2 linked regions of the Macaca mulatta genome follow. Each later gene encodes a partner of the first gene's protein in a complex. Links are inferred from orthologs where the notes say so. Each region holds a gene or a part of one and is shown in the gene's direction. Other genes may lie near its edges.

Evidence for each region.
Region 2: the proteins of CAST (region 1) and CAPN2 are in contact, whole or in part, in a crystal structure (PDB 3BOW), measured with the Rattus norvegicus proteins. The link is inferred for Macaca mulatta from reciprocal best matches to the Homo sapiens genes CAST and CAPN2. Residues at the interface, in NP_445747.2 of Rattus norvegicus: Glu571, Leu572, Asp573, Ala575, Leu576, Asp577, Glu578, Leu579, Ser580, Ser582, Leu583, Gly584, Gln585, Arg586, Gln587, Pro588, Leu596, Asp597, Asp598, Lys599, Val600, Lys601, Glu602, Lys603, Ile604, Lys605, Ala606, Glu607, His608, Ser609; in NP_058812.1 of Rattus norvegicus: Glu62, Leu63, Ser68, Lys69, Gln99, Gly100, Ala101, Leu102, Gly103, Trp106, Lys161, Asp162, Leu165, Leu166, His169, Ser196, Gly197, Gly198, Thr200, Ser241, Asp243, Ile244, Thr245, Asp249, Ser250, Glu251, Ala252, Val253, Val259, Lys260.

What each region holds. Positions count from the first base shown.
Region 1 is NC_133411.1:103,012,118-103,016,570, forward strand, and holds the start of CAST (calpastatin), read left to right. Parts: upstream 1-1,503; 5' UTR 1,504-1,847; exon of another isoform or gene 1,848-1,862; intron 1,863-2,029; 5' UTR 2,030-2,100; coding exon 2,101-2,175; intron 2,176-2,682; exon of another isoform or gene 2,683-2,794; coding exon of another isoform or gene 2,795-2,824; intron 2,825-4,453.
Region 2 is NC_133406.1:81,524,226-81,528,769, forward strand, and holds the start of CAPN2 (calpain-2 catalytic subunit), read left to right. Parts: upstream 1-1,513; 5' UTR 1,514-1,647; coding exon 1,648-1,884; intron 1,885-4,544. UniProt on the Homo sapiens protein: Calcium-regulated non-lysosomal thiol-protease which catalyzes limited proteolysis of substrates involved in cytoskeletal remodeling and signal transduction. Proteolytically cleaves MYOC at 'Arg-226'.

The sequences.
Region 1 (4,453 bases):
CAGTCCCTGGAGGGCAGGCAATGTATCTTTTTAATCTCTGTATCTCTCCTTCTACTAGTCCTTTCACAATGCTTTACATACAATACTCTCAAGAAATATATAACCGGGTTAAACTCAATTTTTAAATACTCTGTTGGAAAATAACCTCAAACTTTAATGCCACCAAGTCAGTGGAAACTATTCCAGAGTTTGAATAAAGTACTCCAGGGATCTAAAACCTTGAATCTGGGACATGTAGGCTCCCCAGTAAGAAAATCATTCTTGTTCCTGGGGTGGAGGCCAGGAAGGAGGAGCTGCCTGTCACCTCACCCCTACAGCTTTTGTGTTTTTTAAAATTACTGTAGTGGTGTGGTCACAATCATAAGAAGATCTTGTTTTCAGACTTATGGCATACTTTCCCTCCTTTCTGAATGTAACCGATGCCAACAAACATTTGTTTTTCCTGAGTGAACATAGTCCCAATATCTAAGTTGCTTCATTTTTATGTATAAATTCCTGCAGTGCTACCTGTTTGTTGAAATGCTAGATACACAGGCAGTAAGTAGAATCCTTTAAGAGGAAATGCATTTAAATCCTCTTCTCCCCCCATCCCCTCCCTCAAAATTAAGAATGCTGCTATCCTATCCTTTAAGGAAGAAGTCAGAATTTCTAAAATGAGGAGGTAGAAAGGAAACCAGAATTCTGTTCTGTCAGGCTCCACACAGCATGACAAATCTCTCCTTAAAATCTGCCTTCTGGCCGGGTGCAGTGACTCACGCCTGTAATTCCAGCACTTTGGGAGGCCACAGTGGGTGGATAACTTGAGGTCAGGTGTTCGAGACCACTCTGACCAACATGGTGAAACCTCGTCTCTACAAAATAAATAAATAAATAAATAAATAAATAATAAAAAATAAAAAATTAGCTGAGTGTGGCGACGCGCCTGTAGTCCCAACTACTTAGGAGACTGAGGCAGGAGAATCACTTGAACCCGGGAGGCAGAGATTGCAGTAAGCAGAGATCGCGCCACTGCACTCCAAACTGGGCGACAGAGCCAGGCTGGGTCTCAAAAAAAAAAAAAAAAAAAAAAAAAAAATCTGCCTTCTCTCTCTTCAACTGTCTAAATCCCAACACTGCAGACAGCGGTGACCCCAAGTCCCAAAATGACGATGCTATTGCAGGGTAACAAACAGGTTTTCTGTCAGGCCTGATGGTGAACCAGCAGCGACTGCAGGCTGACAGTCTCTCACATAAGCATGTCCTAGTAGGGCTTGTTAAATTTCACTTCTAGCCCCAAACCAGGAAGTGCTGTTTAAGATGAGCCCAAGACAAAAGCAATCTAGCTTCAGAAACAAAACTCGCCAGACTCTAGAAAGACCATAAGAGTTTAATAAGGGTTTAAATTTGGGACTGTTCTCCGCTTGGCATTGGAACCTATGGTCTCCTCCCCATAAAAGTTTATTAAAATTCGAAACTGCCAAAAAACAAAGTAAAATCATATACGACCTATACAGGCGCGTGCACGCACTTACACACACACACACACACACACACACACACACACACACACACACACAGACTAATTTGTTTTTATGATCCGCTTCCTTATCTAGACTGTCCAGGCTTGGGCCAGATTTGAGTTGGTAAACTCTCACAGCTAAAGCAGAGAAGAATGTAGAAAGAGTATCTACTTCTCCGGATTATTGGGAGGAGGGTCGAAGCGTAGACTGGCCACGCCCGGGTCCCGCTCTCTCGTTGCACAACTGCTAGATAGATCTGGGCATCGAAGGAGGAACGATGTAACCTCCAACCCCTTCTTTCTGACCAACCGGAACCCGAGCAGTGCTGGGACCGGGGAGGGTCACCGGGTGAGGACCGGGGCGGTGGGTGTTAAGTTACAGGGCAGGAGCCCGGGTCCCTCCACGGGCAGGAAGGGGAGGGCCCATCGGGGCTAGGGGAACCCCGGCGCAGACCTGGGGTGGGGTCGGAAAAGCTGCCTCACCGCGCGCTCCCGGGCCCTCCGCTTCCTCCCTCCCTCCCTCCCTGGCAGGACTCCCCGCCCGGCCTCCCCGCCACTCTCCGCGGCGCATTCCCGGAGGCAGCGCCCGCAGCGGCCTCGCCATGTCCCAGCCCGGCCAGAAGCCCGCCGCCTCCCCGCGTCCCCGGCGCGCAGCCGCCGCCCGCCGCACCCAGGAGGTGAGTGGCGCTCCTGTCGGCGCCGCGGGGCTGGGCGACGGGGGACCGGGTCCCGGAGCTGTGGCCGCCCTCCCTGGGCGTTGCCAGCCTGGCCGGTCTGCCGCCCCCGGCGCCCCTGCGGGGCAGGGAGAGGGCTCGGGGCTCGGCCGCTGTCCGGCAGGTGGCTGGAGGTGTCTGCGGTTCCCCGGCCGGGTCCAGTGCGCTGGGCGTGGCGTTGGCCGGGTAGAGTGTAGTGGGGGCGCGTGGAGAAAAGTTGGCTGGTGAGACGTGGGTGAACGGGGAATGAGGTTCACTCAGGACCCCCGAGTGAGTGCCTTGGTTTCACTGGACAGCGGGATCTAGTTTTCCGCGCTAAGGCCGGGCCGCAGGGCGTGGCTGCCTGGAGACGCAGAGCCTCTTCCCTAACCAGGCAGGAGCCAAATCGGGCGGGCGGGGAGGGGCGGGGTCTGCGCCGGGCTCCACCCCCAGGGTTCTGCCCACCTGGCAGCCGCGGGATGTGCCGAGTTCAGTGCCAGCCAGGTCCCGGCCAGGCAGAGTGCGAGCCCGGCGCCTCCAACACAGCACCCCGCGCCCTCGCTGGGTCCCCCGCCGTGCGGATCGGAGTTAGCCGGTTGTTGCCATGGCATTCGCCAGCTGGTGGTACAAGACGGTAAATAGGAGCGGTTGTGCCTGGGCAAGACTGGGAAGGGAGTGTGTTGGAAGGGAATGTGTTTGCTTTGCCCTTCTGGGCGTGCGGATGAAGCGTTGTCCGGGGTTTGGCGTGGAAGGGGTGCGGCCCGGGTGCGAACCGGATGCGACCTCCTCACAGACCTTCAGGTTAGGCTCCGGGAGAGGCTGGGGACTCACCCTCTTGTGGTATGTGTGAGCGCGCTCGAGCGTGAGCAGCGCATGCACCTTTCTCGCCCCTGTGTCAAGCACTGTGCTCTGCTGGCGCTCACAAGTGGGATGGAACTGGAATTGTTGCTGGAGGAATTCTGTCTAGAAGGTGGATTCCTGAATGAACTCGGACGCAGCTCGCAAGAGCTTAGATCTAGGGTTCGTTTTTAACCCTTAAGCAAAGGAAAGGTAGATGCAATGTGAGGCAGGGAGAAAATCCCAAACACCAAGGGTTAGAAGCAACTGAGATCTAAGACCAAGACCCTTGGAGAGAGCGGTGGAGGGGTTGGGGAGAGAAAGCGAGAAAGAGAGAGGGAGGGAGGGAGAGAGAGCGCGCACAAATGCGAACTGCTCTGCACTTTATTACTTTGGATGAGGGACAAGAACGTTCCATTTGTTTGGTGCATTGAATGTCTGTCCTACCAATTAGGTGTGATATCCAGTCTAGCTGGCACTTGTAGTGTTTTGGAACCAGGAAGCATGATTTAACATTAGACTGCTTTCCAAAAACAACAAAAACCAAAAAACAAAACCACACACAGTTTTGTTGACAGTGAGAGCCAAAATGTTTATGTCTCATGGATTTATGGTGAGAATTAAAAAATTAGTTAGGTATGTCTTTTTCTTAGCATGTGGTATTGGAAAAAGCAAAGATGTTGGAAACAGACACACTTTAGAGCTAGAAACCCTGTATAAGAATCAAGAAAGAAACTGTTACTTATCAGACAATGGACATTTATTGATCATCTACTATGTGCCAGGCAGAATTATATCCCAAAAGTAGTGGTTTTTTTAGATTATTTTTTACTCTCCCTTTCTATATATATAGTATATATGTATAGTGTGTGTATGTGTGTATATTTATAGGATATATATATATATATATGCACACACACACATACACTGTACAGGGTCTCTCTCACTATGTTGCCCAGGCTGGTCTAAAACTCCTGGTCTCAAGCAATCCTGCCACCTCAGCCTCCCAAAATGCTGGGATTACAGACATGAGCCACTGCACCAGGCCTACAAGTTCTTTTTAAAGCCTCCATGTACACTGTGGAGAACAAAGAGTTTTTCTTAAATGAAAATAAGTCAACCTTTTCCATCTGCTTTCACATCTGTAAAATAGAAATCATATGCACTACATAAGTATTGGTGAGGACTAATTAGATTCAAAAATCAAGATACAATATACATATACTTTTAAGAATTGGGAATTCCAATTTCCCTTGAGATATTTCTTCTTGAGTGTTTTCCAGTACATTTCCTGGACTTTTACATGTAGCATTTTATTGATGTGGTAAGAGCAAACGTTTACTTTGAGTCATTATTGGCCTAAGGTTCTTATCAAAATGCACCATGTACATTATCTGCAAATATGGATAGGGATAGTTCAGAGTTG
Region 2 (4,544 bases), on another chromosome or scaffold:
AATTAACTGAGACCTGTTTCAGGTTTTCTGGGTTCACAAGAGTTATCCCGGACATTGTAAGATGCTTAGTAGCATCCCTAACTTCTACTTAGTAAAGGCCAGTAGCACCTCATCTCCTAGCTGTGACAATAAAAACTATCTCCAGACATTCCCAAATGTTTCCTGGGGTGGGATATGGGACACAACTGCCCCAGTGGAGAACCACTGCTGTACACCATGCACAATTTTCCAGTGAAACCCAAATTCCTTCCTACTACTGTAGAGAAGGAGAGGAGGTAATTTCTTCCCATCTGCATTTCTTGGCACGCACCCATGTCTCTGTGTGTGAGCTGAGAATCACACCCTGACTCCACAACAGAGTGGTCACAGTAGCCAACACAGGCACTATTCTAAGCCCTCTCCAACAGTAACCCAACTCATCCTACCAGTTAAATATGAGTTTCAGATAAACAATGAATCATATTTTCTTTTAGTATAAGTATGTATACCCATGCAATATTTGGGGCCTACATATACTTTAAAAGTATCTGTTGTTTATCTGAAATTCAAATTAAACATTTGGGAGGGCTGTTGTTTTATTGGCCAAATCTTTTTATTTTATATTATATTATTTTATTTTTGATATGGTGTTTTGCTTTGTCACCCAGGCTGGAGTGTAGTGGCGCGATCTCGTCTCACTGCAACTTCTGCCTCCTGGGTTCAAGCAATTCTCCTGTCTCAGCCTCCCAAGTAACTGGGGTCACAGGCACCTGCCACAACGTATTTTTAGTAGAGACGGGGTTTCACCATGTTGGCCAGGCTGGTCTCGAACTCCTGACCTCAGGTGATCCACCTGCCTCCAGCCTCCCAGAGTGTTGGGATTACAGGCGTGAGCCACCGCGCCCAGCCTTACTGGCCAAATCTGACAACCCTATCTGTAATCAAATAAACAGCTGAGCAGTAGTAACTGCAGCATCGTGATTGCAACAGGCCTCCGTGGCTTAGAGTCCCTGTTCTGCCTGTGACCGTTGTGCCACATTGGGAAGTCATTTAGCCTCTCTGAGGCTCAGTTTTCTCATCTGTAAGATGGGAACAATATCAGTGCCTTCTTCAGAGTTGCTGGGAGGATTGAATGAGATGATGTATGCAGAGCCGTTAAGACGGTGTTTGGCACAAGGTTCAGGGCAGCTGATTTAGTTTCCTCAACTTCACTACCTGATCCTCTGCTAACTCCCCGGGTGTTTTCTGGACGGCCACAACTACCCTAGCCTCCGGTGTCGCCCAGCCTTCCTCCCCATTGAGTGTAAAGGTGGCCTCGGGTTCCGGTGGGAGCCCCAACTCTGGACCGCGATTCGCGAGCCTTCCCGGCGCCAGGCCGCGCCATCCCGGGAGCTGTCCGCAGATGGCAGCACCGGCCCCGGGTCGCGGCGGTCCCGGCGCTCCGCAGGCCGCAGGCTGGCCTGGTCCCGGGCCGGGAGCCCATCAGGCCGGGAGCGGCTGAGGCCACACCCCGCGGGCCGGGCCGCTTCCCTCCGGTGAATCATCGCTCGCAGTGGCTGCGCCCGCAGTGTCCGCAGCAGCGCGCCGGGCCCTGGCCGCGCCCCAGCCGAGCGCAGCGCGAAGTCGCCCCGACCTTTCTGTGAGCAGCACGGCCGCCGGGGCCGCAGCATGGCGGGCATCGCGGCCAAGCTGGTGAAGGACCGGGAGGCGGCCGAGGGGCTGGGCTCCCACGAGAGGGCCATCAAGTACCTCAACCAGGACTATGAGGCGCTGCGGAACGAGTGCCTGGAGGCCGGGACGCTCTTCCAGGACCCCTCCTTCCCAGCCATCCCCTCGGCCCTGGGCTTCAAGGAGTTGGGGCCCTACTCCAGCAAAACCCGGGGCATCGAGTGGAAGCGACCCACGGTAGGAAGTGCGCGGCAGGACGCGGGCAGGGCGGGGTGCCGGGCAGGGAGGGGTGCAGCTGGCCCGCGGCGCGCTGGGGCGCGGCTGCAGTGGGGAAGCCGCAAGCCAGGACCCCGCAGGCCTGCGACACCTACACGCCGCCGGAGTCTGGGACTCCTTTCGAGCGTGGGGGAACTCACGGGGCCTGCCCTCTCTTCCACCCACCACGCTTTCCTGGGCGGGTCGGGGCGAATCACTGCACTCAAATCCCACTAGCAGGCCAATTTAGGACTTCACAAAAACTCAGGGTGACACAGGAGGCCGGGGTGAAACTTGTAATTGAACTGTAGCGGGGACCTGGAAGAGGAGGGGAATCGGGTCTGCAGAGAAGGGAGAGGCAACATCCACCAGACAAAGTCCGTCTCCAACTGGGGTTCTGTCTGTTCGTGGAGGGGGACAGGCCAGAGCCTGGTCATTTTGTGACTAAGGATAGTCTCATGCAGCCCTGGGGTTACATTTATTTTTCCAAAGGGGAGCCAGCGATACCTCCCCATAACATCGACAATGGTAATTAACCCAGGACACGGAGGTGTCTCATGGTTTGCCTGGTGGGAATCCTCACTGGGGAAAGCTCCGGGAGCCCTCCAGACCCCCATTATCCCGTCCCCCAGGGTCTCTGACCTCCCGGCCCTGGGACAACTTGCCCTCCCCAATCTACTTGTCCATTCCGTTTCTTGGGGAACCGCCTCCTTTGGGACTTCCCCAGGCTTCCCCTACCACGCCTAGGGAAGCCTGCCTGAAGTCCAACTTCTAGATTCCTGTTATGAGAACAAGCCTTCCAGCTCTGCTTCCACACCCGGCAGCCTCCCAGGTCACCTTCTGTTTCCCTAAATCCAGCTCATAGGTAGCGAGGGCTGCAGGAAGCACCCTAGCCCAGACTCAGAGCACTTGGATTCACCTTCTTGCTAACCTGCTGGGTGACCTTGAGGAAGCGGTTTAAACTCTCTGTGCCTCCGTGTCTTCATCTAAAATAACACACCCTGCCTAGATATTTTCTCTCTTTCGTGGCCCTCCAGACCCTGCCATCCTGGCCTCCTTTCAGTCTCTCAAAGAGCCAGTTCTTGCCTGCACGAGGCCTTCTCACCAGGAAGGCACGCTCTTACCTGGAGTGTGGCTCACTCTCATTCTTTCCAACTTAGTCACATGTTCCCTCCTCAAACAGGTATTTTCTGACCCTTCTTAGCAGCCACCTCCCCACCTTGTTATTCTCTAACTCTCACCCCACTCATTTCCTTCATAGCATTGTCACAGTTTAGAAATATAATCACATGTATTTGTTCTTCCTACTGAACTGCAGGAATCATGTGTATATTATTTACCAGTATATCCCCAGTGCCTACCACATAGCCATGCCTTTCACAGTATTCATCCATTCATTCATTCACTCATTCATTCAACAACATTGATGGAGCACCTATTACATGCCAGGCACTGTCCTGAGAGCTCAGGAGATACACTAGTGAACACAAAAGAAGTGACTGTAGAATGAATGGATGCAGGATTGTAATGAGCCTCAGATGAAATTATGGTTGCGAAAGTGGTAAACTGACCTGACGTGGTGCCTCACGCCTGTAATCCCAGCACTATGGGAGGCCAAGGTGGGAGGATCACTTGAGCCAGGAGTTCAAGACCAGCCCGGGCAACACAGTAAGACTTGTCTCTATAAAAAAGTAAAAAAAAAAAAAAAAAAAAAAAATGAAACGCAAACCAAGAGAATGTGTTCACTTTACATTTGCATGGCACTTTACAGTTTACTCAGTGAGTTCACACTCATTCACTTATTCTTTCGTTCATTCAATAAGCATTTCTCGAATACCTCCTATATGCTAGGCACAATGCATATGGTTTCTGCTTCTGAAGACTTACTTCTGAGGCTAGTGAGGTGACAGAGACAGGTCCCCCAACAGTTGGAAATGCCTGTGGGACTTCCAGATGAGGATATAGAGGTCTAGAGATGATCTAGGGCCACTGCTTAGGGCAGGCGGGCTGTGCACTGCACTACCAAGGAAGAGTGTGACTATTACGATCCCCATTTGCCAGTTGAAGAAATTGAGGCTTGGGAAGGTTAAATCCTTGCTCAGAGTCAAGTGGATATAGGCCATAGATCCAGGACTGTGTGTAGTCTGTGCATGTTGAGCCCACCCTTTATGGCTGCGTTGTCTGCCTCTATCCTACCTTCTCAAATGCTGCTGAGGTCTGGCAAGGAGAGCACAATTGTTTCCACTGGATTTGAACACTAGCAGGTCATTGGTGAGTTTAGCAGAGCAATTTCAATGGAAAGGTGAGGGTAGAAGCCAGATTGTTATAGACTCCAGAGTAAAGGAACTGGAAATGAAGAACGTGATCAACTCATTTAAGAAGGGCCCCTGGGAAGAGAGGAGAACTGATGGGTAGAGCAGGACCTGGATTTTGAGAGCCGGTTTTTTTTTTTTTTCATATGAGAACAACTTGAATGTGTCACATGTTGAATCACGAGGAGGAAGGGATTAAAGATAAAGGCAGGGAGGGGCAGTGAAACAGGGTCCCTGAGGAAGTGAGAATACGGGTTGTGGGCAGGAGAGGGGAGCAGGTTAGCCTTGCAGCAGGAGGAGCTGCTCTTCCTCGGAGAGAGGATTTCACAA